2 linked regions of the Xenopus tropicalis genome follow. The protein of the gene in region 1 purifies or fractionates together with the protein of each later gene. This does not show direct contact. Links are inferred from orthologs where the notes say so. Each region holds a gene or a part of one and is shown on either strand. Other genes may lie near its edges.

What was found. Proteins that work in one complex are often made in the same cells at the same time.
Region 2: the proteins of slc37a3 (region 1) and atraid purify together in Homo sapiens (affinity purification with mass spectrometry; 3 studies listed by BioGRID and IntAct, counting the BioPlex papers as one, with this or other methods). This does not show direct contact. The link is inferred for Xenopus tropicalis from reciprocal best matches to the Homo sapiens genes SLC37A3 and ATRAID.

What each region holds. Positions count from the first base shown.
Region 1 is NC_030679.2:5,294,243-5,297,896, reverse strand, and holds part of slc37a3 (sugar phosphate exchanger 3), read left to right. Parts: intron 1-485; coding exon 486-570; intron 571-798; coding exon 799-986; intron 987-3,220; coding exon 3,221-3,362; intron 3,363-3,654. UniProt on the Homo sapiens protein: Unlike the other SLC37 members, lacks glucose-6-phosphate antiporter activity.
Region 2 is NC_030684.2:16,609,479-16,612,576, forward strand, and holds the end of atraid (all-trans retinoic acid-induced differentiation factor), read left to right. Parts: coding exon 1-65; intron 66-602; coding exon 603-674; intron 675-746; coding exon 747-868; intron 869-1,559; coding exon 1,560-1,657; intron 1,658-2,073; coding exon 2,074-2,178; 3' UTR 2,179-2,575; downstream 2,576-3,098. UniProt on the Homo sapiens protein: Promotes osteoblast cell differentiation and terminal mineralization. Plays a role in inducing the cell cycle arrest via inhibiting CCND1 expression in all-trans-retinoic acid (ATRA) signal pathway.

The sequences.
Region 1 (3,654 bases):
ATTTGTATTTATACATATGGGTAGGGGGTGCCATAGTGTTTCCCTTAGACAGTACAGTATGGGGGTACAGCTTATTGTGTGCCCAGAACATTCCTTCTCTGTATATTTGTATTTATACATATGGGTAGGGGGTGCCATAGTGTTTCCCTTAGACAGTACAGTATGGGGGTACAGCTTATTGTGTGCCCAGAACATTCCCTCTCTGTATATTTGTATTTATACATATGGGTAGGGGGTGCCATAGTGTTTCCCTTAGACAGTACAGTATGGGGGTACAGCTTATTGTGTGCCCAGAACATTCCTTCTCTGTATATTTGTATTTATACATATGGGTAGGAGGTGCCATAGTGTTTCCCTTAGACAGTACAGTATGGGGGTACAGCTTATTGTGTGCCCAGAACATTCCTTCTCTGTATATTAATAGATATGGGAGGGAGAGTATAACTTACTACATGACTAATTTTATAACCCCCCCTCTCTAACAGTACGCCTTCCTGGTGACTGCATCAGTGCAATTTGCTGGAGGAATAATCATCTTCTTTGGACTCGTCACATCCCCTAAAGAGTTAGGTATGTGGTATGATCCAAAAGGTATGCTGTTTTTGTCTATATACCTATTTGTAAGTTTAATCTCAATATTCACCTTTTGGATTACATAGGAACCCTAAGACTAGTTATTTGCAGTTGGTCGTGTTTTTATATTCTTTGTGGGTGTGAGCTATAGCTACATGAATGCAAGGGGGGGGGGGGTTGATTTTGTAACCCGTAGCAGCCAATAAGATGTTTGCTTTTATACAGGTCTCCCAGAGACCGGAGAGGGGGAGACGGACAGGGCAGCCCGAGAGGAAGGGGCAAACCGACCGCTCATCAGCGGAAATGACGACGGAGACGACGAATCAAATTATTCCATTCAGAGCGACGATGTTGTCAGCGCGCCCAAAGCCATTGGTTTCGTGCAGGCGTGCTGCCTGCCCGGGGTCCTATTGGTGAGGCTTAACCCCTTAGCTGCCAATGGCGTATACACAAACACACACAAACACTTCTTTTTTTCATTTTACCACTTTGTTTTTAGTTTCTTTTCCCTGTTTATTTTGACAGCGTGACTATTGGATCAGATATTCTGACCACTAATTACGCTGTCATGTGACTTATTGACTCGTGACTGTTTCTCACTGTTTTTTCACTGATTTGCACAATTTTTGTGGTTTTATTGCAGTTTTTATCCCCGTATTAGTGTTCCTGTTCTTAGCGTAGCTTTGCCAGGTGTAACTTTGGTGTAGGAAAATAACTTTAACTATTTTGAATTCATCTGAATGTGTATTTTCCAAAAATATATGGTTTTCTGGGGGTCTCTGTATAGTTAGGGGGGGATACGGCACATAATACGCTGTTGGGGGGTGAGAAATCCATATGTGCTATTTTCATTTTGGGGTCTGTATATACAACGTACGTCGGTATATCTATGCATATTGGGGATCAAACTGTTCAGTAGACCTTTGGGGTTTCTATTTGGGGGGATTTGCCTTTATCTGCAAGAAATTGTGTGAGATAAATGCGGCAAATTGCAACATTTTTATGCGATTTTCTGAAATGTCATAAAAGTTAGGAAAGCTTTGCGGCTTGGTACTTTGGAGTAGAAAGACATGGGTACCCATTATAGATTCGGGGGAATGTGTACTTTCCAAAAATATATGGCTTTCTGGGGTGAGCGTACTTTTTACTAACTTTATTCCACATATAATGATGTAAATGTGTTGATTTTGCAGGAAATGATTATATGGGGGTATGTTCCCATTGGGGCCCCTATTGGGGGGGCCACATACTTAGCTAAACCTATACATATTGGGCATCAAACTGTTCAGGGGACCCCTGGCGTTCATATTTAGGGGGTTTTATTTGGTTACTTTATGACCTGTAGGAGATAAGATTCTATAGACTGGAAGCTTAGAAGTGATTTTTTAAAAATTTCACAAATTTTGATAAAAAAAAACAATAACTTTAGGAAAGCATTGTGACTTGGTAGTTTGGAGCAGACAGAAAGTTGTGCCTATTCTGGATTCCCCAGAATCCGTTCTTTACAAAAATGTATAATTTTCTGGCATAAACTTTCTGTTAGTGGGAGTTTTGGCCCTAAAATCTAAAGTATGCAGCTTTCTGGCGCAGTGCTTTGGGAATTTGGTAGTGTCCTGCCGGGAGTTTGTGGCCTATACAAGTGAGAAATCCCCATAAAACTATATATATTTGGTATCGGCACGTTCAGGAGACATGGGACTTTGCAAATCAGTGGTAAATTCATGCATAACATAATTTTTGTCTCTGGTGTGTGTGTTTATATAATGGAAAATGTTATTTTTTTTTTATTTTTTAGACATTTAGAAGCCTGTATCTTGTTACAGAATTGGAATTACATAAACATTCGACCATATCTTGAAAGCTTAGGTTGTCCTGAAAAAAATGATATATTGTTTTCCTGGGTAAACTAAAAGTCCCCCCCTGAGGAAAGGCCCCTAAAGTGTAACTGTCTGGCAATACAAGTTCCGCTTTGACCAAAACGGCTGGCAGTGAAAGGGTTAAACAGCTGCTGTATTTTGGTTTAGATTGGGGGCCCTCCAGCTGGAGGCCCTGGGCCAGATGTGGGGTAATTTTTATGGTCCCCTCAGCCTGCTGATTAGATTTTTGTGTGTAATACAGTATATATCTGACATGCAGTCTGCCTATTGATCTGATCTGCCTATTACATGTACATGGCCAGGACTTCCACTAGGGGGCAGCACTGTACCGAGATCCAGCTGTACTCTGGATATAGGCGGCCATACACGGGCCGATTCTAGCTGCCAATATCGGTCCCTTAGACTGATTGGGCAGCTAATCGGCCCGTGTATGGGCACTAACGACGGGCCTGCCCGACCGATATCTGGCCTGAAATCGGGTAGATATCGATCGGGCAGGTTAAAAAATTTAGTCGGACCGACTTTGCCTATGCCCGTCGTTATAATTCGATCGTTTAGCCCCAGGGCCAACCCATAGGTGGGGATATTGGGAGAAGATCCACTCGCTTGGCGACATCGCCAAGTGAGCGGATCTGAAAGTGTATGGGCACCTTATCTGTCTCCCAGATCTCCCGTCTCTCACTGGCAGCATAAGATAACAATTGGAGGGCCCAGGGGCCCCAATGACTTTGCTCTCACTTAAGCACCATGTCTTCTTCTCCTCTGCACAGTACTCGCTTGCTTATGCCTGCCTCAAGCTGGTCAATTACTCCTTTTTCTTCTGGCTGCCCTTCTACCTGAGCAACAACTTCAAGTGGAAAGAAGCCGAGGCCGACCAGCTCTCCATCTGGTACGACATTGGAGGAATCATCGGTCAGTACCCTACAATAACTGCCGTAATGGCTTCCCATTAATGGTTCGGGAGATGCCACATACGGCTTTGCCACTCCTGTGGTCGGAATAGAAACACTCTCTAATGTACCACAAGGGCCACAAACCCCAAACTCCTGTTTCCTGGATTTACTGGAATCGATTTTACTTCCCGTTTTTAAAAAAAAACATGATTTGTGTAACCGATTGCGTAAGGTCCTTATGGGCCGTGGGAATGTAAGGAACACAGAGCTGTTACTGCCGGTATATTGGTCGGGCAGGTTCATCGCCGGGG
Region 2 (3,098 bases), on another chromosome or scaffold:
CTGTGGAACTGCTCTCTGGCTCAGCTGGACCCCACCCTGCACCTCACACAAGCGGCTGTAGTTCTGTAAGTACCTGCCTGGCATTCCCTTCCCACACACACACGGGTACAGGGCACCCTCTGGGTAATGCCCTACTGAATGTGTGGGCGCTATGTACTCAGCGCATCATCTAGTGTGTGAGCCAGACCTTGCATGGTGACCATTTGTCTAAATGGGACTAATGGCAGCTTAGGGGGAGGGGCTAGAACACTCTGATGGCAGCTTATAGGGGAGGGGCAGGGACTCTGTAACTAGCAGTGGGTGGGGCTAGAACACTCTTATGGCAGCTTATAGGGGAGGGGCAGGGACTCTGTAACTACAGCCACTGGGTGGAAATGAGCGCTGGAAGCTTCTGGGCCGGGTGGGAAGTGTGTTGCTCAGTCAGTGGGTCGGACTTACAAGGGGAGCAGTAACAGATATTGGGAGTGCAGAACATGTGATCGTTAAGTCATTCTGTATTAATACAAAAGGTGCAGTTTAGGTTTTAGTTGCCCTTATCAGGAAGTTGCTATGGTGACTGTGCAGCCATTGTGAGTTTACATTGTCCTGTTTTGCCTCTGCAGAGACCTCTCCTCTAACCCACTGCGGGATCTCCCCTCTGAGTTTTTCCGTGGCCTGTTGGGGCTGCAGTATGTGTGAGTATTCCCTCTGTCTGTCTGTCCCTCCTGTTTTATCCCCCAATGTAACCCCCTCATCTGTGCCCCCAGCGCTCTCCCTGCCGAGCTCAGCTGCCCCGGGGGCAATAACTCATGGGAAAATGTGAATGTGACTTCGGCTGTGAGAGTGTGCCAGGACCAGAGGAGCTCATGTAACAGTACCAGCGAGTGGGGTGAGTACTCTGGGCCCAACATGATCCACAGCTCGAAGCCACCATTTTATGTGCTGCAGTTCTGGCTGCTGGTAGCTCAGATTACACAGCACAGGAAAGCAGGAAAATCTGACACAGAGGAACATGTGACACAAAAGGAGACAAGAAATCCTGTGTTTCTCTTGACAGAGGACTTCCACCCTAGTAAGTAACAATGTGGTTGGATGGAGCGGAATCATTATCTGCAGTTCAGCTGCCGTTGGGCAAGGAGGCACATGTTATAGGGAAGAGCTGGGCCTGGCATCTGGGGCAGGTCTCCCTTATAACTGCGTTCATCTCTGGGGAGTGAGAAATTCTCTCATATTAACCCCTGGGTGTTGGTCTCCCAAACCTCCCCTGTGCTACCCATAATGCCCCTGGGTCATGTACAGTAAAGCTGTCTGAGTGGGGGCCCCAGCCATTGTCAGGTACCAACATTAGGGGGTTCTGCGCCCAGGTCTCTATTCTCAGAGGGGCAGTATTCATCGAACTATAGAAATCCTGAACAATCAAACTAAGTGAAGAGAAGTTGCATGTCCCGGTCACTGCGCTGCATGGGGCATTTGTCCCTTGCCCGACACTCGCAGTATGTGGGCATGGCCTTATTTAATAATGAACAGTGACACTCGTGGATCTGTACCCCAATGTAAGGGATTCTGTTTCTCTCACCCAGTGCTGTGCCCAGAGAACTCTGTGTGCGCCCCAGATGGGCCCGGATACATGCAGTGCGTCTGTGCCCCAGGATTCCATGGCTACAAGTGCCTCAGAGAGGTAGGTTGTGTGGGGATTGGCGGAGCGAGTGGGACGGCTGGGTGGGGATTGGCAGAGCGAGTGGGACGGCTGGGTGGGGATTGGCGGAGCGGGTGTGTGGGGACTGGCGGAGCGGGTGTGTGGGGACTGGCGGAGCGGGTGTGTGGGGACTGGCGGAGCGGGTGTGTGGGGACTGGCGGAGCGGGTGTGTGGGGACTGGCGGAGCGGCTGGGTGGGGACTGGCGGAGCGGCTGGGGGACTGGGGGGCTGGGGGACTGGCGGAGCGGCTGGGTGGGAGGGGAGCGGCTGGGTGGGGACTGGCGGGGCGGCTGGGTGGGGACTGGCGGGGCGAGGGGGGGCGGCTGGTTGGGGATTGGCGGAGCGAGTGGGTGGCTGGGGGTGAGATACACAGTTAATAACCTGTTCGCCCCCCGCAGAGCACGTTTCCTATACTGATGTTCTTTGGGATCCTTGGCCTGGTCACTGCCTGTCTGTCTGTCCTGCTGTGGTGCACTCAGCGCCGGAAAGTAAAGAGCCAATGAGTGAGGAGATGTTCCAGCATTGCTCTGTCCTATTCACTGACCTCTCACTGGGATTGTCCTGATTGGTCCTTGGCTACTTCATGGCTTCCTGATTGGCAACAAGGAACTTGGCTACTCCGTGGCTTCCTGATTGGCAACAATGAATTGGCTGCTCCATGGCTTCCTGATTGGCAACAAGGACATTGGCTGCTCCATGGCTTACTGATCAGATGGACCTGGGCTTTCCAAGAGATATAAATTTGAACTGGCCCATGTGGATGAGTGGCTGGCCCCATCTCTGAGATAACCAGTCCCATTAGGCACGCGTGTAGGAGACTGCAGGGCGGCACTGTTACCCTGTGAGTGGGGCTGCTCTCATTATAGTGGAACATTTATATAAAGCTAACGTTTCCCAGAATTGTCTCTTGGATTTGACCCTTTTGGGAAAAGCTGGCAACTTTGTTGGTTGGTGGGTTATGGACAGGAGTTGGCAGGGGTCCTGCCTGGGTTCTGGATGGGTTGGTTGGTGGGTTATGGACAGGAGTTGGCAGGGGTCCTGCCTGGGTTCTGGATGGGTTGGTTGGTGGGTTATGGACAGGAGTTGGCAGGGGTCCTGCCTGGGTTCTGGATGGGTTGGTTGGTGGGTTATGGACAGGAGTTGGCAGGGGTCCTGCCTGGGTTATGGATGGACTGGTTGGTGGGTTATGGACAGGAGTTGGCAGGGGTCCTGCCTGGGTTATGGATGGACTGGTTGGTGGGTTATGGACTGGTTGGTGGGGGCCCCGCCCGGGTTATGGATAGGAGTTGGTATAGCTATGAAGCCAGCCAGGATGTGAGGCTCAGGTAAACGCTCCTCTCATTGGCAAAACATTACTGGGTCAGTAGGGGCCCCCCAGGAAGACTGAACTGGGCAGTGAGACTTGTATCCATTGTGACATGAA